Cricetulus griseus: one gene and its partners. The protein of the gene in region 2 interacts with the protein of the main gene of each other region in a pairwise test. Links are inferred from orthologs where the notes say so. Each region holds a gene or a part of one and is shown on either strand. Other genes may lie near its edges. The genes, in order: Eif3k, Ccnd3, Cdk6, Atf5, Rbl2, Vdr and Crabp2.

The links.
Region 1: the proteins of Ccnd3 (region 2) and Eif3k interact in a two-hybrid assay, tested with the Homo sapiens proteins (2 studies listed by BioGRID and IntAct). The link is inferred for Cricetulus griseus from reciprocal best matches to the Homo sapiens genes CCND3 and EIF3K.
Region 3: the proteins of Ccnd3 (region 2) and Cdk6 interact in binary tests that used the Homo sapiens proteins (3 or more experiments, as listed by UniProt). The link is inferred for Cricetulus griseus from reciprocal best matches to the Homo sapiens genes CCND3 and CDK6.
Region 4: the proteins of Ccnd3 (region 2) and Atf5 interact in a two-hybrid assay, tested with the Homo sapiens proteins (2 studies listed by BioGRID and IntAct). The link is inferred for Cricetulus griseus from reciprocal best matches to the Homo sapiens genes CCND3 and ATF5.
Region 5: the proteins of Ccnd3 (region 2) and Rbl2 interact in a two-hybrid assay, tested with the Homo sapiens proteins (2 studies listed by BioGRID). The link is inferred for Cricetulus griseus from reciprocal best matches to the Homo sapiens genes CCND3 and RBL2.
Region 6: the proteins of Ccnd3 (region 2) and Vdr interact in a two-hybrid assay, tested with the Homo sapiens proteins (2 studies listed by BioGRID and IntAct). The link is inferred for Cricetulus griseus from reciprocal best matches to the Homo sapiens genes CCND3 and VDR.
Region 7: the proteins of Ccnd3 (region 2) and Crabp2 interact in binary tests that used the Homo sapiens proteins (3 or more experiments, as listed by UniProt). The link is inferred for Cricetulus griseus from reciprocal best matches to the Homo sapiens genes CCND3 and CRABP2.

The regions. Positions count from the first base shown.
Region 1 is NC_048602.1:6,873,578-6,877,087, reverse strand, and holds part of Eif3k (eukaryotic translation initiation factor 3 subunit K), read right to left. Parts: intron 3,213-3,510; coding exon 3,138-3,212; intron 875-3,137; coding exon 808-874; intron 1-807. UniProt on the Homo sapiens protein: Component of the eukaryotic translation initiation factor 3 (eIF-3) complex, which is required for several steps in the initiation of protein synthesis.
Region 2 is NW_023276806.1:256,945,192-256,949,039, reverse strand, and holds the end of Ccnd3 (G1/S-specific cyclin-D3), read right to left. Parts: intron 2,927-3,848; coding exon 2,767-2,926; intron 2,124-2,766; coding exon 1,987-2,123; intron 1,600-1,986; coding exon 1,432-1,599; 3' UTR 502-1,431; downstream 1-501. UniProt on the Homo sapiens protein: Regulatory component of the cyclin D3-CDK4 (DC) complex that phosphorylates and inhibits members of the retinoblastoma (RB) protein family including RB1 and regulates the cell-cycle during G(1)/S transition.
Region 3 is NW_023276806.1:221,710,853-221,715,031, reverse strand, and holds the start of Cdk6 (cyclin-dependent kinase 6), read right to left. Parts: upstream 2,805-4,179; 5' UTR 2,380-2,804; intron 2,206-2,379; 5' UTR 1,962-2,205; coding exon 1,729-1,961; intron 1,644-1,728; exon of another isoform or gene 1,333-1,643; intron 1-1,332. UniProt on the Homo sapiens protein: Serine/threonine-protein kinase involved in the control of the cell cycle and differentiation; promotes G1/S transition. Phosphorylates pRB/RB1 and NPM1.
Region 4 is NC_048599.1:153,651,718-153,656,050, reverse strand, and holds the start of Atf5 (cyclic AMP-dependent transcription factor ATF-5), read left to right. Parts: upstream 1-1,523; 5' UTR 1,524-1,585; coding exon of another isoform or gene 1,586-1,827; exon of another isoform or gene 1,828-1,942; intron 1,943-2,005; exon of another isoform or gene 2,006-2,062; intron 2,063-2,798; 5' UTR 2,799-2,908; coding exon 2,909-3,086; intron 3,087-4,333. Other genes in the region: Il4i1 (L-amino-acid oxidase), read right to left, coding at 1,586-1,827.
Region 5 is NC_048596.1:166,771,783-166,775,322, reverse strand, and holds part of Rbl2 (retinoblastoma-like protein 2), read right to left. Parts: intron 3,277-3,540; coding exon 3,112-3,276; intron 2,674-3,111; coding exon 2,562-2,673; intron 1-2,561. UniProt on the Homo sapiens protein: Key regulator of entry into cell division. Directly involved in heterochromatin formation by maintaining overall chromatin structure and, in particular, that of constitutive heterochromatin by stabilizing histone methylation.
Region 6 is NC_048595.1:394,401,389-394,405,521, reverse strand, and holds the start of Vdr (vitamin D3 receptor), read left to right. Parts: upstream 1-1,299; 5' UTR 1,300-1,380; intron 1,381-4,133.
Region 7 is NW_023276806.1:66,518,753-66,522,788, forward strand, and holds the start of Crabp2 (cellular retinoic acid-binding protein 2), read right to left. Parts: upstream 2,811-4,036; 5' UTR 1-2,810. UniProt on the Homo sapiens protein: Transports retinoic acid to the nucleus. Regulates the access of retinoic acid to the nuclear retinoic acid receptors.

The DNA of each region.
Region 1 (3,510 bases), on a different chromosome or scaffold from region 2:
GAACATGGTCTAAGAATGCAGCTGTGTGAGAAGAATTCTAAGAGCTTATGAGAAAACTCCAAGAAAACAAGACAAGAGTCTTGTGACCTCCATTTCTGTTCTTCCATAATATGGGTTTGTTCTTGGCAGGTACTTTTGTGCCCCTCCCAAGGATAGTATACAGGAGGGGGTTTGCTTCAGCTTACACATTGTTGCTAATTTTTGTTATTCAAAAAAAAAATTTCCCAAGTCAGAGGTAGTGGCACAGGCCTTTAACTCAGGAGGCAGAGGCAGGCGGATCTCTGAGTATACGGACAACCTGGTTTACAGAGCAAGTTCCAGGACACCAGGGCTATGCAGAGAAACCCTGTCTCAAAATAATCCAAAAGAAAAACAAAAAATGTTTCCCAACAGCTTATCCTTGTGATTGTAAAGGGCTTGCACTCCTGTGAACTTTGCGCATTGTGATCTTTTTTGTTTTGTTTTTCAAGACAGGGTTTCTCTGTGGCTTTGGAGGCTGTCCTGGCACTCACGCTTGTAGACTAGGGTGGTCTCGAACGAACAGAGATCGGCCTGCCTCTGCCCCGAGTGCTGGGATTAAAGGCGTGCGCCACCAACGCCCGGCTCATGTGATCTTTCTTAGCCTCAGAGTATAAACTGTCTGATGCTCTGGATAAAGTTGGCTACTACATGAGACTGTAGTCTGCTTTGTTTGCCAGCTCCATTCTCCTAGGTCACACCACTTATAGAACAGTGAGGAGGCCATTTCTTAGCACCCTGCTGCCACTGTCCCCAGCCCCTCAGGAACCCACACCAGAGAGGACTCACATTTTCGGACAGAATCTTCAAAGCCAGTTATGCCTTCCAAGAGGTCCATGTTTTCATCCAGGGCTTGCTGCAAAAGGAATGATGTCCTCAGTGTTAACATTAGCAGTACTGTCGTGGGTATTCACTAGCACGTGCTGATGTTCTGGAGGCTGAGGCAGGAGAATCTCAACTTCCTGGCCCAACTAGGTGACAGTATAACTGTCTCCAAATCTAACAAATAACACAAACCTACTGCTGGCTATGGTGGCAGTGCCTGTAATCCTGGCACTAGGCTAGAAGCAGGAGGATAAGGAATTCAAGGCCACTCTCAGCTACATAGCATGTTTGATCAGCCTTGGTTCAGGAGAACATGCCTGTCTTTAGTTTGTTTTTACTGAGATAGGATTTCTCTATGTGACCCTGGCTGTCCTGGAATTGTCTCTGTAGACCTGGCTGGCACTGAATTAAAAGATCCACCTGCCTCTGCCTCCTCAGTCCTGGGATCAAAGGCGTGCGCCAATGTACATGGCTGGGACATCCAACAACCAAACTACAGCATGTACATCCACAACGAGAGACGTCTAAGAAGTCTAAGTAGCCTTGTTATCAAGGGACTCTATATGATGTGATTCGTAAGTATTGGCGGGTCCCCCACCTCCACCTCCACCTCCCTCAGTGGCCGGGGCCTCCTCATGACCCTAACAACCAGCCACACCCTGTCCACCTCAGGCCCTTTGTGTTGCTGTATCCCTGCAGCTCCTCCTTCACCCTCTTCAGGGTTCAGCCCCCAGCGAAACTCCCTTCAACAGGAGTGGGAGGGGAGAGGCTGCACTTTGTGGAGAGCAGCCACTAAGGTGGCAGGAAACCCAGCCCAGCCCTGGTTCCGCTGAATGACTGAGGGTCAGAGCAGGAAAGAAGCTGGAAGCTAGGGACCTGCAAGGCCCAGGTAACTGGGGGGGGGGGGGGGGGGGGGGGGTATCTGCAGTTGTCGTGAGGGCCAGGCAGAGGGCACCACAAACCCGTCAGCGCTTTCTAAGTCAACATGGGGAGAAAAGGACACTGAGCAGGGTAAGCCACTGCCCCTGACTTGACCGTTTAACAGGAATGTTTGAGACATGAGACTTTGTTTTGAACACACAGTTGTCTGATATTCTATAGCCTTGCCTTGGACAAAGCAGAGCAGGGCCTCAAACGACTTTGAAGCTGTTCTTAGAAGCACAGTAGACATGCACAGGCTCACTGCAGACACTGGCAGGCTGGAGGCCCATGAGAACTGTAGGCTTTTTTTTTTTCTTCTCCCCTACTTTTTTGCTATTGTGTTTTAAATAGTCTTCCTATGCAGCAAAAGTTGACTCCAACTTTTTTTTTCTAAAGATTTATTTCAAAAGATAACATTTTGGGGGCTGGAGAGATGGCTCAGGGGTTAAGAGCATTGACTGTTCTTCTCTGAGTTCAATTCCCAGCAACCACATGGTAGCTCACAACCATCTGTATGTAATGTGATCTGGTGCCCTCTTCTGGCATGCACTGTATACATGATAAATAAATAAATCTTAAAGAAAAAGATAACATTTTACTTTTATGTGTAGGTGAGTGTATCTATGTGAGCATGAGTGCCCACGGTGGCCCGAAGAGACTGCCCAGCAAGGGTGTTGGGAACCAAGTTCTGGTCCTTTGCAACAATACCTACCTTTTTATTTCTAATTTTAAAAACTCACACATCTTATGGGTGTGGGTGTTTTGCCTGCATGTATGTCTGTGTACCAGGTGCATGGCCAGTGACCACAGAGGCCAGACAAACATGCTGGATCCCCTGGAGTCAGAGTTTCAGAGGGCTGTGAGGCAGAGCTCCTAACCGCCAAGTCACCTCTGCAGCCCCTAGCCCGGAACTCTATCCTCAGCCTCCTAAGACCTGGTACCTCAGGCAGGGGCCACCCACCTGCCCAGCTCAGCCTTCCCATGTGAAGGCTGGATAGGCAGGGTGCTCAGAGTGGATAAACAGGGCTTGTTTCCATCTGAAGAGACAGTATAGGAGACAGGGCCAGCCTGAGCAATGCGGGTGCAAAGAATGAATGACCCGGTAGTCCTGGTTCTATGTGAAGATGGGACAGGGGACAGAGGACAGAGCCTGTGACCAAGCAGATACCACTGCTTTTTCGTGTTTGAGACACTGTTCATGGAGCTCAGGCTGGCCTCAAACAACTCTGTGCAGCTGGGATGGCCCTCCCGTTCCCACCTTCTGGAAATACAGGTGTGCACCAATCATGTCTGGTTTCTGAAACACTGTGTGGGGATGGCACCCCGGGATTCCCACATGCCAGGCAAGTACTCCAGCATCCAAAAGACATTACCCAGAAAGCTTGAAAGTGGCAGGTCTCCAGCAGGTCCCCGAGGTACAAGATCTGTCGGATGGGCCGCTCTTCTTGCTGGCAGCAGGAGGTATTAAGGAAACAGTGCGGAAACCTGTGGAGGCTGTGGTGTGGGTCTAGCTCACCCTTCTCCACCCATCTTCTTCCAGCTGCCTTTTTTCCTTTTCTTTTTTTTTTTTAAACCAGAAAAGGAACTGGGAGTGAGGATCAGGGATGCAGGGATGTAGTCCAGTAGTACAACGCTTGCCTACTTGCTACAAGTGTGAGGGTTTGGGTTCCATCCTCAACATCTCAAAAAATACCTACCACTGGGGAGACAGAGGCAGCAGACCTCTGTGAGTTCAAGAACAGCCTG
Region 2 (3,848 bases):
CCAGAGAAAGTATTTCCAGACACATTCCTACCCCATCCATCTCTTGTTTTTTAATGTACATGAGCATTGTGCCTGCATGGCATCAGATCCTGAGACTAGAGTTACTGATGGTTGTGGTCAAATCATAGCTCTCAGGAGTAGCCCATACTCTCAGCTACTGGGCCACTAGTGCGGTCCCCGTGTGGGTTTTGAAGCAAGATTTTGCCATGTAGCACAGGGTAGACTAAAACAACTTCCTCTGCCCTGTGAGTGCCACCAAAGATTACAGGAATAGGCCACCATGCCAGAGTACAGCAAAATTCTTGTTTTACATAAAACTGTCCAGACCTGTTTTCCCATGAGCCCTCTGGGGCATGGTGATCACTCCTTAAACCATAACTTGTAGAAGTGCATCGGTAAAGTGGGCCACATTGCCTTTAAGAAGAAATGTTCCCTACCTGAGACAGCTGACTTGTGCCTCCCTGCTTCTACACACAGCCCCAGGTACTTCAAGAGCCAAAGCAAGTTTTATTCCGGAATCTTTATTAAGGCAGCATGATAGAAATGGGCCACCAGCCCAAACCTTGTGGCCTAAGGAAAGACCTGTGTCAATAGGGCTTGGACCTCTCCAGATAGGCTCTGTCCTCCACAGCATCCATCCTTACTCAAACCCTCTGCTGGAAGACGAGGTACAGGGCCTCAGGAGAGGAAGGCACGGCCCCATCCCAGGCTGTAGCAGCTCCTGGACCACAAAGCGGTAGCAGAGGGGAGGGAAACAGCAACCACCAGGGTTACCACCGCTTGTGGGGTACAGGCCTCACTGTACCCTCTTACAGTTGTATTCAAAGCAATAAATTAAAATGACCATCAGCACCCCTCAAAGAGCCCTCAATCACAGAAGCTAAGCAGGAAGCAAAGCAAGAATTGGTAGGTTCTTGCCCCTCTGACCAAGGCCTAGGCTGTTCCCTCCAAGAGCAGCTGGGAGCATGGATTACACAGCAGCCATCTATTTGGTACCTCATGCACGGTTATCAGGATGCTTGAAGGACCCGAATCCAAATGCACTGACCCTAGGAGGGGCAACACCTTTGGAAGGAACTGGGGCGTTTTGGCAATTGAGAAAATTAGAGCCCCAGAGAGGAGGGACTCACAAGGAATGCTGGTGCATGGACTTTACCTGTTTGGATTTCTCTGACCAGCATGGCCCAGAACAGCTGAGCTGGTCAGGTGGGAAGGAGGAGGAGCTGACTGGCCATGCAGAGCCCTCATGGCCAACCAGCACCTTAGTGCACAACTGTGGGGATAGGCAGGACCTGGCCCCTTGGGCTTTGTGAGGGGAAGGAGGACCCCCCATCGGGCTTCCGATATAGCATGGATTGTTCCTAGAGGAAGGGAAGGGGTGGCAGTGGCCCCTCCTCTGCTTGGTGGCCACCTGAGGGGGCCTGTCCCAAGCTACAGGTGGATGGCTGTGACATCTGTGGGAGTGCTGGTCTGACTGGGCCCCTGGCTGCTAGAGCCCCGGGGGGCTTTGGGCACTGGGCTGGGGGCAGTCTGGGCAGCTTCCCTGAGGCTCTCCCGGAGGGCAGCTTCGATCTGCTCCTGACAGGCTCGCAGGCAGTCCTAGGAAGAACAACAAGGTCAGTAACAACAGGCAGGTGCAAGGGAAAGGCCACCCCCCTGCACATCGGGAAGTCTGGGGAGGTTAGGCCACAACCCAGCCCAGGAATTGGGTCTCAGTTCTCAGAAACTGGCAAGAGGATGTGGCAAGGGTGTGAGAGCAGCCCTGCATCTGACACCAAGTCTCCCACCCCTTGGTGCAGCATACCACTGGCAAGAGAGGGGCAGCTACATGTGTGTCCTTCATCCCACCTGATCCTCTCCAGAGGCAGGAGATAAAAGGCCACAGAAGCAGGCAAAATTGTACAACTGGAGTTGGGGGTGGATGCTGCCCTCTTCTGGGGATTTGAGGGATAACACTGCTTTTTGTGAATGGGGCCTGAGACTTACCACTTCCGTGCCTGTGATTCCTGCCAGCAACTCTGTAAGCTCATCTGCAGACATAGAGCTGGCTCCTAGGCCTTGAACTGCAGCCCCAATGCTGCCTGTAGCGATCATGGATGGAGGGTACATTGCAAAGGTGTAATCTTGTAAAAGAAAGGGAGCCATGAGAAGAGTCATCTTATACCTCTGTTTCCTGTTACAGCATGCCAGGTTGCATGGATGCAGCATACTGGGAACCCCCAGTGGTGGGTGGGGTGACTCAGGGACAATGGGAGTGTTTGGTGTGTGTGTCCATGGTGCTGGCATCTGACTGAGGCATGCACAAAATCACTGAACCACTATACCCCACCCAACCTTCTGAGATCTGAGAACAGCAAAATTTCCTTCCACCCAGGCTGGACCTGGTCAGGAACTAGAGAATACCCAAACCCCTAGGGTGGGGGCCTCAGGCTAGTCAGTGCCTCATACCTCCATCCCAGGATCACCAAGATCCTATATGAGGGGCTCAGAGGTTAAGAGCACTGACTGCTCTTCCAGAGGTCCTGAGTTCAATTCCCAGCAACCACATGGTGGCTCAAAACCATCCGTTATGAGACCTGGTGCCCTCTTCTGGTGTGCAGATATACATGGAAGCAGAATGTTGTATACATAATAAATAAAATCTTAAAAAAAAAAAAAAGATCCTATATGAATAGTTCTGAGTATGGAAACAATCTCCTGATTACTATTTAGCCTTCAAATCATGGTTTTTCCCAAACTGGAAAACCCCGTGTCCAAGGTTCTTACCTGTAGCACAGAGGGCCAAAAAGGTCTGGGCATGCTTTTTGACCAAGGACTGTCGGTCACTGGGCAGAGAAAGGCGGTGCAGAATCAGAGCCAGGAAATCGTGTGCAATCACAGCAGCCAGGTCCCACTTGAGCTTCCCCAGGACCAGCACCTCCCATTCCTGGAGAAAGGGGATGAGCATGGAGTCAGTGGCTGGCAAAACAGGTCAGGATATGGCAGAAGATTTACAGTTCTACTTCTGGCTGCAGGAGTTAGCACCTTGGAATGATGAATTCAGGGCATTTTCTTGAGCATCTATTCATCATTACTGGGTACTAGAATGGCATGACATCCCTCTTAGTCTTCCCATGAATGTGAGGCCAGCATCAGTTGAAGCAGAAAGACTAAACTGCAAGGACTTCAGAAGGGGAGCCACAGTCATTAGCCTGTCCCTCCCTGGCCCTGCATCTCAGCCTGGTCTCTTAAAGAGACAGAATGAACATGAGGCACTCCTGAGGTTCCTCAAAGGGGAGATTACCCAACCCCACCCACACCCCTTTTGTGGGACACCAGGGGTGGGTCCTGTCTCAAGACACGGAGGCCAAGCCAAACAGGATGAATCCAGATAGCCCCTGAGGCATCTGCCCAAGCCTACATAACCAATAAGAGGTCATAGTAGTAGTCTAGGAGCCCCAACCCCAGCTCATTTGTCTGGGTTTCCAAGTCCTGGCCTGAGTTGCATTTCCGAGTTGCACACATGAGGATTTCTTCATTGTTTTATCTCAGGAAGGAACTCATGGGTTTGACTCCTCAATGAGGTACAAATGTCAGCCCCACCCAACCTCTTCCAGGACCCCAGCAACAGCTGTCCCTCTCTCTGTCCCACGACCTAGGTGTCAGCCCCAGGGTACTTAGAAGAGCCTACAGAAAAAGCCTGGGCCAGAGCCAGAAGTAAGGCACAGAGGCTTGCCCTGGTAACCAACAGCATCCAGCCTCCAAGGAAGCAAGAGGCAACCAGACTGTGTGGGGTCCTCACTGAGGGAAGGTGGCCACCCTCCCCGATATCCAGACAACATGAGAATCCCAGCCCCACCTCCCGAACA
Region 3 (4,179 bases), about 35 Mb from region 2:
TCGTTTAACAGGGTGCTTCATTGCAAGAACATTGTTTTATTTGCATGTATGATAATCACCCTTACCTGGACCCTCCACGGGTAACAGACAGAAGGAAATTTGGTATTAAATTCTCTTGTTGTTAACAGAGTCACTCCTCTAGGATAGTAATCAAGAGTCAGCATGTGCCCTTCTTGTCCCTCCATTCTCAGAGACCTCCTTTAACACACACACACACACACACACACACACACACACACACTGATCTATTGTTTCGTGTAAATTCTGACTTTCTGGAAGACTCATTCTCACACCTCAACCCTGTACCCTGTTACCTAGCTAAAGCTTAGGTATAATGGGGTCCTAGCTTTACAGTGTCTTTTTTACTTATTTATATATTATGACTCACTGCTGCATTGTGGCCTGAATCTGACTATATTGGGAACAAAGCACTACAAAAACCTCTCAGGATTCCGTAGACTCCGAGTCTGCGGAGGGCTTTGGTATTTCAAAGGTCAGTCTTGGGTCTCTCCATTTTGATGACTAATGTTAAATTGTTTGACTTTCTACAAAAATATTTGGCTGTGCTTATTTACATAATTTCATCCCCAGGGCACACAGTAGGCACATATTTGTTGCACCAAATCCCCACAGGAATGAGAAGACAGGATGAAGACGCCAAGATCATGATTCTCCTATACACAGAGCTGAGTGAGAAGGGTGAAATCATCACCTAATTTGTACAAGGGTCCATGCACGGCCTTTTCACTCTGAGCTATGCATCTGTTTAAAAAAGAAAAGGATGAAAGGCACACTGGGGAAATCCCAGCACCCCTGAGAAAACACCATTATCCTCACCACATACGCAGGCACACACTTTCTTTTAAAGCTAGTTACTTCACAGGAAAGCTGGTTAAGAACGCCTCCCCACCCACTTGCACAACTCTTCCAGGGAAAAGAGGCTTTTAGAGTACCACACACTAGCCTCACATCCAACCCTTGGGAGAGGCAGTCTAAGACCGACCTTACCAGTCCACAGATCCTAAATGATACAATCAGATAATGGCTATAAGAGGCTTTCCCCCATCCCATCCTTCCCTCCAACCCCCTTTCTCTTTAGATAGGGTCTTTTGTAACTCAGGCTGGCCTTGAACTCAGGATCTTCGCGGCTCAGTGTTCCTAGTACCCAGCCGTGGACGGCGTTATTTTTTTTTAATCAATGTTTAACATTAGGCGTCAGCATTGAAACTTAAGAACATCAGAAGTCATCATTCTACATCTTTAAAAAAAAAAGGGGGGGGCACCACCATGGATGTGATTGGCAAACATATTCTTATACATTTCTTCATTTTCTTAAACTTTATTTTTATTAGGTTCCACCCTTACAGTTTCCTTCTAATTACCACAAGCTGGATACCTCTCTCATTCTCAGACTCTCAAAACTTCCCCCGCAGACGGGAAAAGTAGGTAAGGGCTTGAGGGACGTTTCTAGGTTGTCTGGTTTTGTTCCCCAAAGACACCCACCCAATCCCAGTCACGACTCCCACCCCCACCCCCACCCCCTTGGGGCAAGCAAGGGAGCGAAAACATTTCAGAGCTGCTTGGCTGCAGGAAAGCCACTTGCGGGTCTCCTTTTATGCCCTGGCTGTCAAGGTCACCGATTTCTATGGGCAAAACTCCACTGTGACTGTAGCTGGGTCAGCAGCCGCCCCTCGCCCGCTCGCCCGGCACCTTCCCGGCCCCGCTCACCTGACCACGTTGGGGTGCTCGAAGGTCTCCAGGTGCCTCAGCACCGCCACCTCGCGGATGGTGGACAGCGGCATGCCCTCCTCGCCGGTCTGCACTCGCACGCGCTTCAGAGCCACGAAGCGGCCGCCGTTCTTCAGGTCGCGGGCCTTGAACACCTTCCCGTAGGCGCCCTCGCCGATCTCCGCCACGCACTCATACTGCTGGTCGGCGCGGCTCAGGCTGTCCTTCTCCATGCTGGCTGGACGCTGCCGGCGCGGCACGGAGGGTTCGGTCGGGGTGTGCGTTCGCCCGCTCGCCGCCTGCACGCCGCCCGGAGTCGGACTCGCAGCCGCCGCCGCCGGGCTGCACAGAGCGACCTCGGCCAAAGCCGGGCGCAGTCGCCGCGAAACTCCGCCTAGCCGAGTCGCCGCTGGAGAGCGCCGATCCCTCCTCTTCCCCCTGCGCAGCGATTACATAGTCTGCCCACAATCTCTGCACCTAGGAGGAGGAGACGGGAGGACGAGGGAGAAAGTGCGATCAGCCAGCCAGCCAGTCCCGAAGGCTTCCACCGGGTTCCACCGGCTCCCCTCCTCCTCCTCCCCTCCGCTCGCCCCGGCCCTCCACCCGGCTGCCTAAGCTCGCCCCGTCCCTCGCGGAGAAAAGCCAAGTTACTTTTCTTGCCCGGCGGGGCTCTCGTGCAGTCTCTGCGAGGAGAGGTTGCAGGGGCCCCTCGGGGATGAGCGCCGCGCGGGACGGGAGGGAGGGGGCGTGCCGAGCAGCCCAGAGTGTGCCGGGAGCGCGGGGGAGGGGAGGCGCCGGGCGCGTCAATGTCACGGCTCAATATTTCGACCGATACCGTTGTTCTTCTCCTCCGCCCTCCCCGACCGACTCCGGGCGCCTGGACGGACGGGGGACTTGGGGAGGGGGCCGTTGGGGAAGCGGGTGCGTAGGCGCTGCGGGTTCCCGGGGCGTGGGGCCGCAGAATGGGGTTGGGGCTCCCCAGGACCCTGCAAGCCGACGCTAGGAAGGAGTACGCGAGTAGGGGTGGTCAGACATCTGCTCGGAAATTGCTTCCTTTCTTTCTACTTTCAGTTTTTCTGCCGAGACATTGAAAAGGGACTCGCGCGCGCGCACACACACACACACACACACACACACACACACACAAATGGTCTTCGGGGTCTGGCACTCTTAGTGGGAGACAGAACCCTGCCTCCGACTCGGAGGACCTCCCTGGTGCAAACTCCGGGAGGACACACCATCTGGTAGGGGAGGGCTGGGGCTGCCAGGGGTGGGAGAGCGAGGGGCCCTGGGAGGGGAGGAGTGTCGTGTTGTCGCCCCCCCCCCCAGTCCCCGAGATCCCAAGGGTGTTGGGAAGGGAGGTCGGTCACTTTGGCTCGCCGTGTCCGGAAAAGAGTAACTTCGGGACCTCAACTGGTCCCTAAGTTTGCAGCTGACTTGAGCCCGTGCACCAACCGAGTTGCAGCAACCGCCCTTCCGACGGTGGGGGTGGGGGGGTTAGCACGGGACGCCCGCGTGTGAGAGGGGCTGCCCTAGGGTTGCGACTGCAGAACCTCCGCCCGGTGTCCTGAGCGCCCCGAGGTCGCTCGGCTGCCCAGCGGCTGGAGGCCGGGTCCCACGCGCGGTCGGGCGTCCCCTCCCCATCCAGTTGTTAGGGATGACCGAGCGAGCCTTCCCGTCCCACGGCGGCCTCAGCCTGGGCTGGACCTTGGCCCACGCTAGCCGCGCGTCCGGAACCCTCGGCGTGCGTTTACCTGCCCCGCACCCCTCCTCGCTCGCCCTTCTTTCTGCCTGGAATGAAAGAACCCACGGCGCGACCCTCACTGGGTGCGGGCGTAGCTCTGCGCGGGCAGGGCAGGGGCTCTGCGGGGCTCCCTTGAGAGCTTTCCTGAAAAGCTGCGGGATGCACCCCCAGAACTCGCCCGGGGGTCCGCCGCCAGGTCGAGGGCCACACAGGTAGCGGCAGCCGCGGCCTCGGCGCCCGCCCGCCCGCTCTCCCCCTTCGGCCGGCCGCGTCCAGCTCCTTCGGCTCCGGAGGCGGCGGCCGTCCCACCCCCGCAGGCCCGCACCCCCCCCCCTCAGCAGAGCGGAGCGGAGCGGCGGTGCCCAGCCCCATCCCCTCCTCCACTTTTCTGTTGTTGTTGTTGCTTTCCCACGCTGGCTGAATGTGACTTGACCCCATTTCAAAAAAAAGTTTGACATAGTGCTTCAACATTTCCGCATTCCTCCGCGACTACAAAGGCTGCAGCCGCCTCCTTCTGCTTTCTGTCTCTGCTCTCTGTCTTCCCTCAATGAAATCCCTTCATGAGCCTCGGCCCCCAAGCCTCGGCCAAACGCCGCAAGGGTCGCCACCGGTGCAGCGAGGGGAGGCCGCCCGCCCGCCCGCCCGCGGGACCTCGGCTCGCGCGTGTGCGCAAACGCAGATGCGCCCGCGCAGATACGCCCACGTGC
Region 4 (4,333 bases), on a different chromosome or scaffold from region 2:
CCAGCACTCAGGAGGCAGAGGCAGGCAGATCTCTGTGAATTCGAGACCAGCCTGGGCTACAAGAGCTAGTTCCAGGACAGCCTCCAAATCCACAGAGAATCCCTGTCTCCAGAAACAAAACAACAACAACAAAAAAATACACTCCTTTTCAGTAACACAGACATGTCACCACTCAAGTGTGGTGGAAGTCAGCCAACAACTTTCTGGCGTTGCTTCTCCTGGGATAACTCAGACTGTCAAGTCTAGAGACCACCACTCAGCACTCAGGCCCTGACCTTGACTTCCAATACTCCTGCTGGCCTGGCTTTTGAATCTTTTCTTAAAAACACATCGAGGCCAGCCAGGATAACCTTGAATTCATGATCCCTTCTGCTTCCACCTCCCAAATACTGGCATTATAGGTATGCACCAACCCCAGTTTATGTGGTGCTGGGGCAGAACTCAAGGTTCTTGAGTGAAATAGGCAGGCATTCTACCGAGTTCCATCTCCAACTCTTAATTTGGGTCTTGATTTAGTCTCTCAGCTGTATCAGGCAGGCTGACTTCCAGACGGAATGTCCAGACATGGATGGCCACGGGTGGGAAATGAGATTCATGCATCAGCCTAGGGAAGGACCATGGGGCTTCTTTGACTAAATGGAATATAAACATCCAATTTCAGACAAGGCCAGGAGAAAATTATCTAGTGAGGTCAGCAAGAGACCAAGGACTGAAAGGAAGTCAGGGAAAGGGGCAAAACAATGAACCACCTGGTAAGAGAGCTAAGAGGTCGTCGCAGGGGCAGAGCACCAGCCTGTAGAATGAGGAAAATGAAGATGCCCACAAACAAAAACCTTGGAAGGTAGGCCACACAGTGTGATCACACGGACATGCTGGATGGTTAAGGGCCCGGGTGGAGAGATTCAAATAGGTGAAACGATTCGGTGGGTAAAGTCTGTCAAACATGACAACCCGAGTTCCAACTCTGGGATCCACATGGTGGTAAAACAAAACAAAACAAAACAAAACTTCTCAAAGTTGTCCTCTAACCGCCACACACACACACACAATAAAGGTTTAAAAAGTGTTAACTAGGAGCCCTGTGATTAGGACTTCGTGGCCTACCTCCCATAGCTACTCTATTTGTGCGTTTATACACATTTGGGGGGCATTTTCCTGCTGCTGCTGCTGCTTTAATTCGCTTAAAATCGCTAAGCTAGCTTGAAATCGCCATCCCACGATGGGCCGACCCACGAGGGCTCACAGGAGGCGACGTCGGTTGGGACCGGTGGCGCATTCGTGAAGCATTCGTGAGCTAGCGAATCAGGAGAGCGAGTGCTGAGGGTCCGGGCGACATGGCGGGCCCAGGGTCGCCTCCGCCCCGTCGGGACCACGCGGGGGCGGGGCGGGGCGCGGAGGGATCCGGGAGGCCCGCGCTGCGCCGCCCCCGGTATATTTGTCCCCAGGCCCCGGGGCCGCCTCATTCTCCACCTTCTCAGAACCATTTCTCCTAACGCTCCCGCCACGCCGCCTCCGCCCGCCCAGCCCCCGCCATGGCTCTGTAGCCGTGATCCTGTGGTGCCCCCGGCCCGGCTTCCGCGCTCACCGCGCCTGCACTCTCCGCTCCCGCCGTCTGTTCAGCCGAGGCCGCCGTCGCCGCCTCTCCTTTCCGCAGCCATGGAGTGAGTAACCGCTCGCCCCTCCCTCTCCAACCGCCTTTCCCGCCCTTTCCCAGAGCTCGCGGGGCTTCACGGACCAGCCGCGTGGGGGTGGGGAGACGGGGAGCCAGGAACCGCGGCCGCGCAGGCGCAGAGAGGGACAATGGTGGCCGGTGGGTCCGCTGGGCATGCGCGCTGGGCTCGAGCCGTGGAGGAGGGTATGCTTCCGGAGGGTTGGGGGTGGTGGTTTAAAGACGGCTCGCTCGCCTTCGCTCCCGCACGCTGCTTCCCAGTGCCTCTCCCTCCCTCCCTCCCTCCCTTCTCCCAGGATGCGACCCACACCCCGTGGCGCACGCGCACTAACCTACCCGAGGCCGGAACTACGAAGGGCAGCTCTAGCGGCGTTACAATGGCCCGCTTTCAGGGTGCGAGCATGCGCTTTGACGCAGAAAGGAAGGGTGGGGTTTAAGTCAGGCCGATTCCTTGAGGCGCTGACTCAGGCCCCGCTTCCCTCCAATCAGGCACCTGCTGGGGCGGGGAATGCTTAGATTGACAGGGAAGACAAGGTTTAGGAACGTCTTTAAGGAGGTGGAGCTAGCACCGCAGGGGCGGGGCCTCTGGGACTTGCTAGTTGAGGGCGGGAACCGAGGTAGACAGGCAAGTGGGCGGGGCTTCTTGTAGAGTCTGTGGAAGTCGCCTAAATTTTTTTCTATTTTTTTGATTTAAATTAGAAACAAGATTATTTTACATGTCAATCCCAGTTCCCTCTCCCTCCCCGTCACCTAAAAATTTAAGGGAAGAGTGGGATTTGAGTGTGTGACACTGATGAAGGGCCCAGGCATGGCAGAATCCCTCTGGGAATCCCTGTGGGTCGGTGGACTCTAAAGGGTGTAAACTAAAGGGAATATTGATGTGGAAGGGGCATGGCTAGAAGACAATTCCCTTGGGATTCAGATTTTTATGAAGAGGGGCTGGAGGTGATTCCCCTAGGGAAACAATAGGTTTCTGTGTTGAGGGAGGAAATGGGGCTTGTGAGTTCAAGAATTCTCTTGGGAATGTGTGGAGCTCTGGAATTTGGGGAGAGAAGTGAAGTGTGAGGGGCCTGTAGGTCAAGCAGCTTTTAACCCAACCCAACCCCACCCCCTTTTGTCTCCTTCACAGGTCCTCCATCTTTGTCTTGCTGCCTGTTGTCACCCAGCTGAACAATCTCCCAAGCTGCCTCCCCACTATTGGTGCAGCCTCCATCCGTGCCCTGCGCCTGTGTCTCAGCCATGTCACTCCTGGCGACCCTGGGGCTGGAACTGGACAGGGCCCTGCTCCCAGCTAGCGGGCTGGGCTGGCTCGTAGACTATGGGAAACTCCCCCTGGCCCCTGCCCCCCTGGGCCCCTATGAGGTCCTTGGGGGAGCCCTGGAGGGCGGGCTTCCAGGGGGGGGAGAGCCCCTGGCAGGTAAGAACAGGTAGAGAGCAGAGGTGGGTTGAGCTTGAGGCAGGGAGGGAGGGCAAGAAAAGGAAGAATGTATTCATTCCCAAGATGAGTACTGAGGGCCTCAGCTCTGTTCTGGGTGTTCAGGGTTCAGAGCAAAGGGTCCCTAAGCTCATGGAACATTAGGGAACAGCTGTTGAACTGAAAGTGATGAAAGACCTAGTTGAGAAGTCACATAACCTCCAAGTAGACAGACATATGAACTGGGGGCTAGGGGATGAGAAGAAAGGAGCCATGATAAGGCCTGAGGTGCTTCCATCTAAGAGACTCTAGGGCAGACATCATTCTCTCTTAACTATAACAGCAATTGCAGCAATAATAAGTAGCTGGCCCTGGTGGCACATACCTATAGTTCCCCCTTTCAAGAGGCTTCTCATCCTCTTGAGCCCATGAGTTTCAGGCCAATCTAGGCTTCTCAAAAACAGAAAACAAGAATGAATAAAGATGGAATGTGAGAGACAGAGAGCAAGAAAGAGAGATCCAGAGAGAGTGAGAGAGTGTGTGTGTGTGTGTGTGTGTGTGTGTGTGTGTGTGATCTTAGCACCCTGGGGGAGAGGAAGAACCATCTAAAGTTAAGACTGCCCTCAGCTATGTTCAGGGCCAACCTAGACTACATGAGACCTTGTCTCAAATAAATAAATGAGTAAACGAGAGAAAACATAGGTATAGGGGTATAGTCAACCAGCCCTACAGATAAGACAATGGTTTCAGAAGTAGTAGCTGACTTGAGTGGATCATTAGTTGGTTGACTGCTTCACTAAGTGGTTAGCCTATTATTCCATTGCTTAGTTGGTAAATTAATTGGTTGGTTGACTGACTTGACTCATTGATTGGCTTGTTCACTGATTGGTTAGTGAGTTGATTAGTTTATTAACAAGTCTGGTGAACTGTTTGATTGGCTGATTGGTTGGTTGACTGGTGAACTCTGGTTCATTGCTCACTTCAGTGGGTTACTTGGTTGGCTACTGAACTGTATGGTTGGCTGATTGGTTAGTTGCCTCATTCATTGTTAGTGGATCAGTTTGTTGATTGATTGGTGAAGTATGGTTGGCTGATTGATTGTCTGACTTTTTCATTGATTAATGAATTGGTTGGTTGGTTGATTGGTTGGATGGTTTGTTACATGACTGACTGGTTTGTTGGTTGCCTGATTCATTGGGTAGTAGGTTGGTTGGTTGGCTGATAGATTCTATGGTTCACTCATTTGTTAG
Region 5 (3,540 bases), on a different chromosome or scaffold from region 2:
AGCTGTGTCTTAACTTTCCCTGTGTTACAAGAAGACATAAAGACTGGGACAGAGCTGTGGATCCAACCATGTAGATTCATAAAGAGACAAGTTAGGAAGTACAGAGAAACAGAAGTGAAGGGATCAGACCCTCACTCAGTCCCTGCTTTAGCAGCCATGACAGGCTACAGAAAAAAACACCTAGGCCTCTGACACAAGGAAACTCCAGATCCTCTGGCCTCCAGGAGCCTAGAGCCAAAACTAGACACAAAGAAACTCCAACTGCCCCCCTCCCAAGCCTCCTAGAATCCTGGTTCCTAGGAACTGTTTGGCCACAAACAAAACAAAACAAAAAAAAAACTCCAGGGGAGACCAAAACCTCCCCTGTAGTTTCCAGGATATAGTTCTAAAAACTATTGGTATCTATGTACAACAGGCCACCTGCAAGTAACAAGACAAAGCCATAGAAACCACAGAATGTTCCCTCTCAGCACTGACCAATGAGAATAATTGGTACACAGGTATTTCATGCCAAAATACGACTTTTGAGAAATTCTCCTGATTGTTCCCATATATCACCCAATCAGAAACCAACCCATACCTACTGATGTAACTTTTGTCTTTAAAACCTAGCAGTAGACAGGGAACTTCACTCCCTCTGGAGGCTGCTGCATTGGCTAGCCAGACAGGGTCCCTGTCATGGTTGGATGAACAATAAAACCTTGCTTTTACAGTTCAGTGGGTCTGTCTCCCTGGTGGTCTCTAGGTGTCTTCACAACTTGGGCACAACAAGAAGTAAATGACAAATTATAATTCACAGACTTGGGAAGGAAAAACTACAAAAATGGTACTGAAAAGACTAGTTTATCAGATCTGAAACCAGGTCTGTATGACTGAAAGTAGTTAAACAATTATTGCTGTTCTTTGAGAAATGAGCAAGGGCTGGAGATGCCTCAGCACTTTAGAGCACTGCTTTTGCAGAGGACGTGGAGTTGGTTTTCAGCAGCCACATGGTGGCTCACAACCATCCGTAACCCCACTTACAGAGGATCTAACACCTTCCACCTCTGTAGGCACAAGCACAAACCTGGTGTGTGGACATACATGCAGGTGAAACACTCATAAACTTAAAATAAATCTAAAAACAATTTTAAGTGAGAAAATTTCATAAAGCATTTAATTAGTGAGTTAGTTTGGTTTTCTGTTGTCTGTTATTGTTTTGAGTCAGGGTCTCTTGTAGCTAAAGTAGACTGGCCTTAAAGTTAAGACCCTCCTACCTCAGCCTTCCAAGTGCTGAGTACAGAGGAGTGTCACCACACTCTGTATCATCTGTGTTTATTGATACGGCACTGACTTGGAATAAACTTGACTTTAAAACTGATCCTTTGATAGCTAGTGGTTACCAAGTACATTATAAAACTGGCTTAGTAATGACAATGTTCTGATGGATGCAGAGCTCTCTGGAACTATACAACTGTTCTTTGAAAACAGTTGTGGAGCTGGAGGTGTACTCCATCTATTGCAGGATGTGTGCTTTGCATTTGGGAGGCCCTGTCTTGAATTTCCAGCACCAGGGGAGAGAAATAGAAAGAAAATCAAAGAAGACAGACTCCCATACATAAATATAAACCTTGCACCTAGGCAGTCATCTCAGGAGCCAGCAAAAACTTAAGCCTGTATTTTCTGTACTTCTTGGGCCAGTATGGATATCACATTACCCTAAGTAGCATAGCTCCAGTCACAAAGCTGAACATGGTCCAACCATGAAGCCATCCTGTCTCACTGACTTATCTGTATCTAACCAGATCTCATAGCTCTATCTTTAAGAATAGTCAGGTGTGGTGGTACACACCTATATTCCCATCTATGACAGAGGTTGAGTCAGAAGGACCAGACCAAGGATTGAAAATCAGCCTGGCCAATATAGTGAGACTCCTATCTCTAATAAACATTGCAAAACAAAACCATAAAAAGGAAGATATAGTTGAAAGAATGAAAAATTCACTGAGAATTCTATAGTTAACAATGTAAGTATTATTAACAGTTTGATTTTCCCATTTTTTTTTGTGTGTTTACAGATAAAAATTCACTTACAAATGAAGACCAAATCAAATGTAAAGTGTTCTAAAAAGATACCCGTAAGCATGGCATGGTGACACACTCCTGTAGTCCTTGTAGCAGGGATGTGGAGACAAGAGAATCTAGAATTCAAGGTCAGCCTGGGTTATACAACCAAACCATCTCTCAAAAATGTTTTTATGTTCTTAATATTCCTTAAAAGCATATTTAAGTCAAGAGTGGTGATACACACCTGGAATCCAGCATTTGGAAAGTGGACAGTCAGGAGTACAGGGTCATCATAGCAAGTTACATAGCAAGTTCAAGGCCAACCTAGACTACACAAGACCCTGTCCCAATCTTCTTGCCCAGGAAAAAAAGCATTTTTAAGTGATTAATACATCACTAAAAGACATAGAATAGTCTTTGCTCTGCATGGCCTATTCACTTTACTTACAGGTTTAGATGAAATCTAAGTATCTAGATTGAAGACGCAAACACTCCTCTTCCTATTTTAGACTTACCTCCTCCAAGCCCTCCAGCATCACTGCGGACTTCACTCACCCTTCTCGGGGTTAGGGGAGAGCCAGCAATACAAATTTCATCTGTTCTTTCTAGGTTTTGAGGTGGCATTACCTACAAAGAGTTATTTCCACAAAATCTTAATAGTAGAAAAGCATTTCACTAGAAATACAGTAATAGTCTAAGGCAAAAGGAAACGACTTTTGTCTGATTAGTTATTTCTTAATAAAATTACTAACACTAAAATCTTCAGTCTTAAGAGATTCAAACTTGATACCGGATACTACATGTGAACCAATGTTCCTTACTGATTTGGAGGGTCAGGATAGCAGCCTTAATTTTTACTGTCATGGAAATCTTGAGGGCAGTTACAGGTTCCTCAAAGAACCTGATTCTGTTTCCTCTTTGATACAAGAATAAACCATTAACCACACTGCAAACCCATGCCTGCCAAGGGCAGACCCCAGCTCTAACCACTCTCTGTAGCATGAGGACCATAAACAATATTGATATGCTTCCCTTACAGATAGGTGTTAAGATATTGTCACAAACCTCTTCACATGTAGGAACTCTGTTTTCATTATCTCTAATTCTGTCCCACAGTGGGGACTCTGTTTTCCATGCCAAATGATCTAAAATTTGTTCTTCAATCTGGTTGAGGTGTTTCACCACTTCTCTGCAAAGACCATCTTCTGCTCTAATAAATACTTCTATTACCTGAAAAAAGAAAATGCCCTGGTTAACTGAGTAACAATTACTATGATTTTGCATGCAAAAGTTTTATGAGTATAAAAGCAAAATGAGCCGGGCGGTCGCGGCACATGCCTTTAATCCCAGCATTTGGGAAGAAGAGGCAGGTGGATCTCTGTGAGTTCAAGGCCAGTCTGGTCTACAAGAGCTAGTTCCAGGACAGCTAGTTCTAGGGCTACATAGAGGAAACCGTTCTCAAAAAAAAAAAAAATTAATGAAATGAGGGGCTGG
Region 6 (4,133 bases), on a different chromosome or scaffold from region 2:
AAGACAGGGTTTCTCTGTGTAACTCTGGCTGTCCTGGAATTTACCCCAAAGACCAGGCTGACCTGGAACTCACAGAAATCCACCTACCTCTGCCTCCCGAGTGCTGGGATTAAAGGTGTGTGCCACCTCCACCCAGCCAGTCTAGAGGGGTTTAAAGCTGTTAACTCTGAAGTATAGTTACCAGAGACCACTGCCTGCCCTCAAGGCTTCCGGGAAAGGTAGTGTAAGAAAGCAATCTCTCTCTATTCCAGGACCTACCCAGGGAAATGTGGAGTCAGGAGACAATAAAAGGTTCTAGGAGAACAAGGAGAAAGAAATCTTGCTTTTGTCACTGTTATAAAATGACTTACTGGGAATAAAGCTTGGGTGGCTAAAATTCTTGTTCAGTATAAATACAAAGTGTCTTATTATAAGGTAACAAACCATATGACAGACTAATACACTCTATGGTGGCTCATTGTTGCCTGGAGATGGTGGCAAAGGTTCGATGGGATGGACAGAGCTATGAAAGAGAGCAGAGTCTGGAGGGCCAGATGAGGTCCAGGAACTGGGGGAGGATGAGAAGGACATACTAGAAGTGTGATGGTGGGAGCAAATCATAGTGTGTGACATCTGTAACCTTGCAAAATTTGCCAAATCTAGAACCTCTGAGTTCTTCATGGCAAGAGAGGATCGGGGGATGGGGTGCAGAGAACCGGGAAGCTGAGGCAAAGCCAGCTGGAATGAGATCGCAGTTAGCCAGGAACGTGCCCCCTCGCTGTGGTTAAGCCGCCGGATAGGAGAGAGCTCACAACTCCAGTCTCCAGTCCACTTGGGTCCCCCTGTGCTTGTCCTAACCGGTGAAGTCCGGCTTTGCGCCCAGCATCAGAAACTGGCCGGCGATTTCCCAACGGCGAACGGAGAAAGGCTCCTCGCAGCGCGCCGCGGGCGTCGGGGTCCCGGGTCAGCTCAGGTGCGAGTGACGCACCTGGCAAAGGCGTCTGCAGCAGACTGGGTAGAACCACGGCAGCGGGGCGGGGGTGAGGTGGCGAATACATCACGGATCACCGCAAGCAGAAACATGGATCTGCACGAACGGAATCATGAAAGACCGCCCCAAGTAGGGCAGAAGCCTGCGCCTCGCTGTGACCGGAGGTCGTGGATCCTTTCACAAAGCAGGGTCTCCTAGGCGACAGTGCAGTGGTTGACTCCAAGTCAAGAAGGTTTCAGGGCAGGAGAGGACTGGACCTGGTGGGCGTGGCTAAGGGAACAGGGCGGTCCGGGGGCGGGGCCTTGCGGGGCGGGGCCAGGTGCTGAGCCGTCTCTGCTTGTCAAAAGGCAGCTGCCGAGCCAGCCCTAAACGCCGGGAGCGCCAAGCAGCGTGTCCACCCGCCGGACCAGGTGAGGATCAGGGAGCAGCGGGAACCGGGTTCAGGGTGAGAGATTAGATTCAGGGGCGGGCGTCCGGGGTCGAGAGGTCTTAGTGCCCAGGGGCAAGAACTAGAGACCAAGTTTCGGTAGCAAAGTTGGCGATTGAGATCCGGACTGTGGTGCCATGAGGTTGGAACTCTGAGAGGGCACCCAGGTCTGAGAAAGTTGAAGTTCGTGAGATGTTGAAGAGGGGGCAGCCACCTTCCGGGATGCTTGGGGGGCTCAGCGCAGGAGTCCTTCGCTAGGACAGTTCTCACCGGACAACAAGCGTTTGTTTCCTTCCTCGGACCTGCGCTCTAGCGTGGAATGGAGGAGTAAGAAAGCAAGTGATTGGCTGTGGATGTAGCTAAGGTCTCTGGGGGTGGAGTGTGAGTAGCCTGTTTATTACCCAGTTGGGCCCATGTGTGATCACCTGTGATGGTGGAGTAGAATCCTTTAAATGGAGTTTTCTTTTGTTAACTTTCGAAAACCGCCGGTGCTTTGAGACCTAGTGTACTGGATTTCTTTATCAGAAAAGCCTGTCCACAGACGTCCAGAGGGACTCAGGGGCCAGTGTGGAAACTGAGGAAGGGATTTAAGAAATAGTTTCTGTTTGGTGAGTGAGGTTCGGAGGGAGTATTTGGAAGGGAACTGCATGATCCACTGTCGTCACGACCACTATCACCCACCTGAGGCTGCCTGCCTGTTCTGGGGGAGCCTTGCTTCTATGAGCCTAGGCCACACTCCTCTTCCTCCTCCTGCTCCTCCTCCTCTCCCTCCTCCTCCTGCTCCTCCTTGTGGTGAGTGAGTCAGCCTCCTGTCTGGGCTCAGAGCAGCAGAGGGGCCAGAGCCCAGGCAAGCAGTTGGGCAGGCATTTTCTGAGCATTGCAGAAGTTCCCTTGGACAGAGTTCAGCTCTTCCCCAGTGTCCTGGGGAAGGCCATCTTCTTCATGGACATCAGGGGTGGGGGAGTGTCATCAATGGTTATTTGATGGCCATGGGCTGATTCCAGGTGACCAAGAAGAGACTTTGACTGTTCTCTGGGATTGGAGGTACATCCCAATATTATAGGCTTACCAGCTACTGGATCCACTTCTACTGTGTTAGTGAGCCATCTTGCCTAGTAAGGCAGGCATAGAGGAGAAATCGGAAGAGAGTTTGGGGAGCAGAAAAGGCAAGCAAGGTTTTTTCCCAGGCTAGGGAGTAAGAGTGGATTCTCAGAGGCAGAGGGGGTTGTCTGGACCTAGGTCCTCAACTCTGTGAGCTAAGGGTATTTTACATTTGGGAACCATCGCTATTTCTTTCCCAGATTAACACTGGAGAGAACTGTGTGGATCTCTGTGGAACACTTTTCAGTACTGGCATGCAGCCAGAACAGGAGGTAGTAAGAGTGAAATCCTCTGCTGGTTTTGTTTTAGATACTAGAGACCCTTGAGCAGAAATGGGTAACCTGGGCCCCCACTCAGTAGCCTTTTCTAGCTTGTTTGAGAGGAACCCAGGGAGCCTGACACAGTTACATTGCCTCAAACTGTAAAGAGGTAGGAAATCACATTCTGTGCTCCGGCTTTAGGTTTGGCTATTCCTGAGCAGCCGTGACTTGGTTCCTGACCAAGACGGAGAAGGGACTGGGAAAGGAGAGAAAGGAAGAGAATCAGGCAGCCCAGCTGACCCCTCACACTTCCCCAGATACAATCCTATGCCTGTGCTTCAGGATGTTGTGCTTATTTGTAATGACGTTTCTCAGCTCCATCCCCTGTCTACCTATGAACTGATCTCTTTGAGGGACAGAGCCCTCTGGAAGCCCTCAAAAACCCCCTGGACCTCTGCCTTCAGCACAGATTGCAGGTATCCAAAGCTTAGGCCTTCAATAGAGGAAGGCCTAGGATAGTGGTTCCCAACCTTCCTAATGCTGCGACCTTTTAATACAGTTTCTCGTATTACGATGACCCCAACCATAAAATCATTTCGTTGCTACTTCATAACTGTAATTGTGATACTGTTATGAATTGTAGTTTAAATATCTGATGTCAGAATATCCGATATGTGACCGACCTCTTGTGGAGGTCATGACCCACAGGTTGAGAACCACTGGCCTAGGGTCTGGTGGGCTAGACCAAGAAGTTACCCAATACAGGAGAATTCTGTTGTACAGTTTTTCACCCTACATCCTAGGGATTGGCTACAATCAGCGTCTGGGCTGCTGCTGTCTATGCAGAATGGCAAGGCCAGGGTACCTGGGTCACATTCTGATGTGTAGCTGGATGGTGGGTTAGAGGGCTCCAGCTTCTGCTTGTCACTGCTGTGATGTTTGGGATGCAGGTAGAGGGAATAAGGACACAACCAGATTTGATTAAGAGCCTCCTGTGTGTCCCAGCATAGTGCCAGGCTGCCAAGGGATGTCAGCAGGCAGATCTCAGCAGGCCAGGCTTCTGCCTCCAAAGAGAGCTCCATGAGGAGCAGCAGCCCTGGCACCATCTCCACTGCTGTCCAGTCGAAGGCTCTGATGGGCTGAAGCCAGCTGGGCAGCTGCTCTAGACCAGCAGGACCTCACTTGTAGCTGCTGCTCTCTGATTTGTCCTTAACATTCCTTAGTGACTGTGTGATTTACTGTCCAAACTGGGATGCTCATGAGTTAAAGGGGGTTTTGTGTGTGGCCATGCAGAGACATAAACCCAAACCCAGGAGAGCTGCAAATCTACTCATCCAAACCCAGGAGAGGTCACACAGAGTGATTAAGGGACAAG
Region 7 (4,036 bases), about 190 Mb from region 2:
GAGGATACCAGGTCGAGCAGTTTTACCACAGACTACTGCAGAGGTGGGGAGAAATGGGGGGGGGGCTGAGTAACACTCTTGAGTACAGGTTGAAGCGCTCCCCGCCCCGCCCCGCCCCGCGCCCCCAGCGTGGCCTTGCTGCTATAGATACATGAGAGGGTTTTAGGTTCTGACAGTGAAATCCAGCTTCTAACCCAAGAAATGGAGAGACCGGTGGAGAGAACAAGGCAGGAATCAGGCGCCTGCTGCCCACCCCTCCAGTGTGGCCGCTCTCTCTTCTACCGGCTATTGTACCCATCTCCACGTCTCCAGACTCCTGGGGCCCAGAGGCAGGAAAGCCCACTCTCTTACCCGGGTGGCATTCTCCCTCATGTAAGAGAAAAGGGCAGGACAAGCCCTAACTCTTCCCAGGAGCTTTGAGGACCTTACAGTCACCAGGCCTGGGATGGTAGTTGGAAGGAGAATCCTAGAGGGTAGAGCCTGGGAGGAGGTTTCCCCAGGTGGGAGTGGGAGCCCTGGGCCCACTCCCTACGCTTCATCCCCACCACCCCCTCCTCTAGCAACTGGCTAAGATTTCCAGAAACAGAAGTAAGACAAAGGGAAGTAGGACTGGGCGCGGAATTTCTTCCAGATGTGTTAGTGGTTTGGCTGCTCAGGATCAGAGCTTCAAGCACCCCAACTTGAGAGTGACGGTGGGGACAATATGCTGACTGGTTAGGGCTGGGGCTTCAGCCTCCAGCAGTCCTTTTATTCCGGGGGAATAGCAGGAGTGCTTAGGTAAGAGCTGGGAAAAGGAGACACTGAGAGATGAGAGAGCCTGGAGGCACTGGGATGAGGGCTAGCAGAGACAGGGATGGGGGATGCAACCGACGGGGGCAGGGGCTAGGGCCCCAGAGCTGTGTGATGGGAGGAGCTGCAGCCAATAAGAGTTCCATGCCCAACTCCTGGCTTTAATTTCCCACTGGGATCAATAAGGAAAGGAATTTCCCGGTGCCTCTGGCCTTTCAATTATAACCAAATCTACTGCAGTTCTGCCCCAAGTGACCCCATCCCCATGATCACACGCCTGGTGGGGCTCCCTCTCCTGCCAGAAGTTTGGAGACACAATAGGGAAGCAGAGGCAAGCTGAGGGTGGAATGAGGAAGAAACAGGAGCTCAGGAGACTGAAGGAATATTCCCCTGCTTTGTTCCATTGTGTGGCTAGGAGGAAGGTGGTCTCAGCTCAGAGCAGAGGAACAGAGATGGGCTGAGACGGCAGCAAGGAACAAGTGTAGGTAGAGTAGACTGTGTGTGGTGGAGGGTCGCAGTGTGGGACTTGGACACTTCTGCCATCTATATCCCTACCCCTGGGGCTGTGTAGAAGATGAGGAACCACCCAGACTATCATGGGAGAGGCGGAGTATGAAAGTCACAAAATCCCCACACTCAGCCTCAGCCAGGACTAGGGAGATGCTCTAAGGTCAGTCAACACCGGTGGAGGACGTCCCTCAGGCCAGTGTTATTGCCTCTACTGGGAAAGTCAGCTAGGCTGGTCTGGACACTTGTACAGAAGGTAGTGATGGGGCTCTGAGCCAGAAGAAGCTGTGTTTAGTTAGCCTTGTGTCTCCCGAGCCCTTGCATCCTCAGAACTGCACAGAGAGCTTAGAGCCAGCATCCTCCCTTCCATTAGGATCCTCTGTGAAAAAGGGACTCTTGTGCCTTCTCCTATCTCCCTGGCTTAGGGACCCAGCCTTTGTCATTGTAGCAGAATGGAGGGCAGTAGAGCCCCAAAGCTGAAGTACAGGGTCAGGGACCTAGGAAACAACTCACCTCCCAGAAACATTTGGGTGCAGGTGGGAACTCTCTGAGAACTAGGAAAGGGTGGTAGAGGTTCCTGAGAAACCCGAGGTTAAGGGGAGGTTCTACCCAAAAGCAGAGGAAGCAATGACCTGCAGGGTCAGCCTGAGGTCTGGCAAAAGGAGGCAAGCAGGGCCAGCAGGACAGCACAGTTGTCTGAGAGGAAACAATAGGAAGGGCTGGAGCAGAAGGAGGGGCTACCCCAAGCCAGATGAGGGTCTGTGCAGCACCCAGGCGGGGCCTCTGTTGTTCTTGGCTCTGCCATGCTTTTCCCAGCTCCAGCTGCCAACGCTCTCCTCAGGGCTGGGCTGGGTTGGGCTGGCTGAGCCAGGAAGACAGGAGGGTGGGGTAGGGATGCACTGGCTGAGGACGTGTCCAGACTGAGTCTCAGTCCCCTGCATGGAGATGACCTGCAGTTACATTTGTGTTGGCTCTTTGGTCTGATTCCTAGTATTGCATCCATCTGCCATCAGCACTGTCCTGCATTCAGCCCTAGCAGCCAGGAGAGGAGGGATGGGACTGTAACCATGGACAAGTCCTACAAGCGTGGCAGGTGGGTTTTATGGCACCTGGGGAAAGTGGCCTATTCTGAAAAGGTCACACAGCTCTGGACAGCCCAGCCTCCTCCAACTCTTCCACTTTGCCCAAGGCACAGGGGCTGGAGAACCCCAATCCAGTTACTTCCCTGGTGGTGCCTTTCCTGCCCTTTGAGGTAGGAAACAGAAAAAGAGCTGGACCTGGGACCTTCTGATTTCCCATACCTTTGATATTATCTGGTGGCTGGAGGAAGAAGAGACAGAGGCAAGCAGCCCAGATACTGGGCCTCTCCCCCCCGCCTTGTCATCTTGAATCAGAAGAGATAAGCAGGGTTATAAGTCTGGGCATGGAGATGGTTCAGTGGTTAAGAGCACTCATGCTGCTTTTTCAGAGGACCTGGATTTGATTCCTAGCACCCACATCACAATCTTCTCTAAGTCTAGTTCCAGGGGATTTTTTAAAAAAAAAAAAAAAAACTTCATTTTATATGCATTAGTGTGAAGGTATCAGATCCACTGGAACTGGAGTTACAGACAGTTGTGAGCTGCCATGTGGGTGCTGGGAATTGAACCTGGATCCTCTGGAAGAGCAGTCAGTGCTCTTAACCACTGAGCATCTCACCAGCCCCAGTTCCAGTGGACCTGTTGCCCTCTTCTGGCCTTTCAGGGTACCAGACATTTATGCAATGCACTATATATGCAGCCAAGCACATACACATAAATTAAAACAAGTAATAAAGCTTCAGATTAAAAAAGGAATTCAGAGTCTGGTTCCTTAGCCCAGCCAAGGCCTTGTTCTTCTCCTGACTTCCACTCTTATCCTTTCCAATAGCAAAGCCAGAGAGCTGGTTAGTGGGCAGGAGATGGGGAGGAGAGGTGGCCCCATAATGACCTAGATCTAATAGTCTGTTCTGGGCAGCATGAACAAAATGGGGAAAAGATGTATGAAGTGGCAAGTTCTGGTTTTCTTCTGTGGGTACCAGCTTTGGAAAATGCCAGGTGTCAAAGAAAAAACGACACTGCCCCAGAACCACCCCAAACTCTGGTCTGTCAGGGCCCCAGGGTGCCTCACTCCCAGAGGGCACTGACCTGAGGCCTATGAACTTGTTAGCCTAAGAGGGGGTTCCATGGTTAGCACTCTGGACTCTGAACTTGTTAGCCTACCAGAGCATATATGCTGTCCAAATGATGCTCCCCTCCCCCACTTTTTCCTGGCTGCCATTCCCCTTCTAACTTGGGCCAAGACATCTAAGTGGGAACTTTGGAACTTGGGGATTAGCAAGAACATATCTCTGGGTAATTAAAGAGGCCAGTATTTCATGAATTTTGTAGTTGCCAACTACACTCTTACTATCTCATGGTCTTGGTCTCATACCTCCCAAACCCTGGTTTTCCAATGATCTGGGTTGTCAGTGGTGGGTCTTCCTACCACACTGGTAGCTAGTTCAGAGCCATGTCCTAGGGCCCCGGCTCACAGGGACACCTTGCTACCTACTCTGCCAGCTAGCCCGGTATAGGGCAGCCAGTCTGGATTCTTTGGGTGTGGGCTCCAGTTCCCTCCCCAGCAGCCAGATCATGGCATTCCTGCCTTCTTCCTCTTTTGAGTTATAATCTGGAGACTCTCATAAACTATTTACAAGTAAGCAAGCAACTGTTCAGGCTAA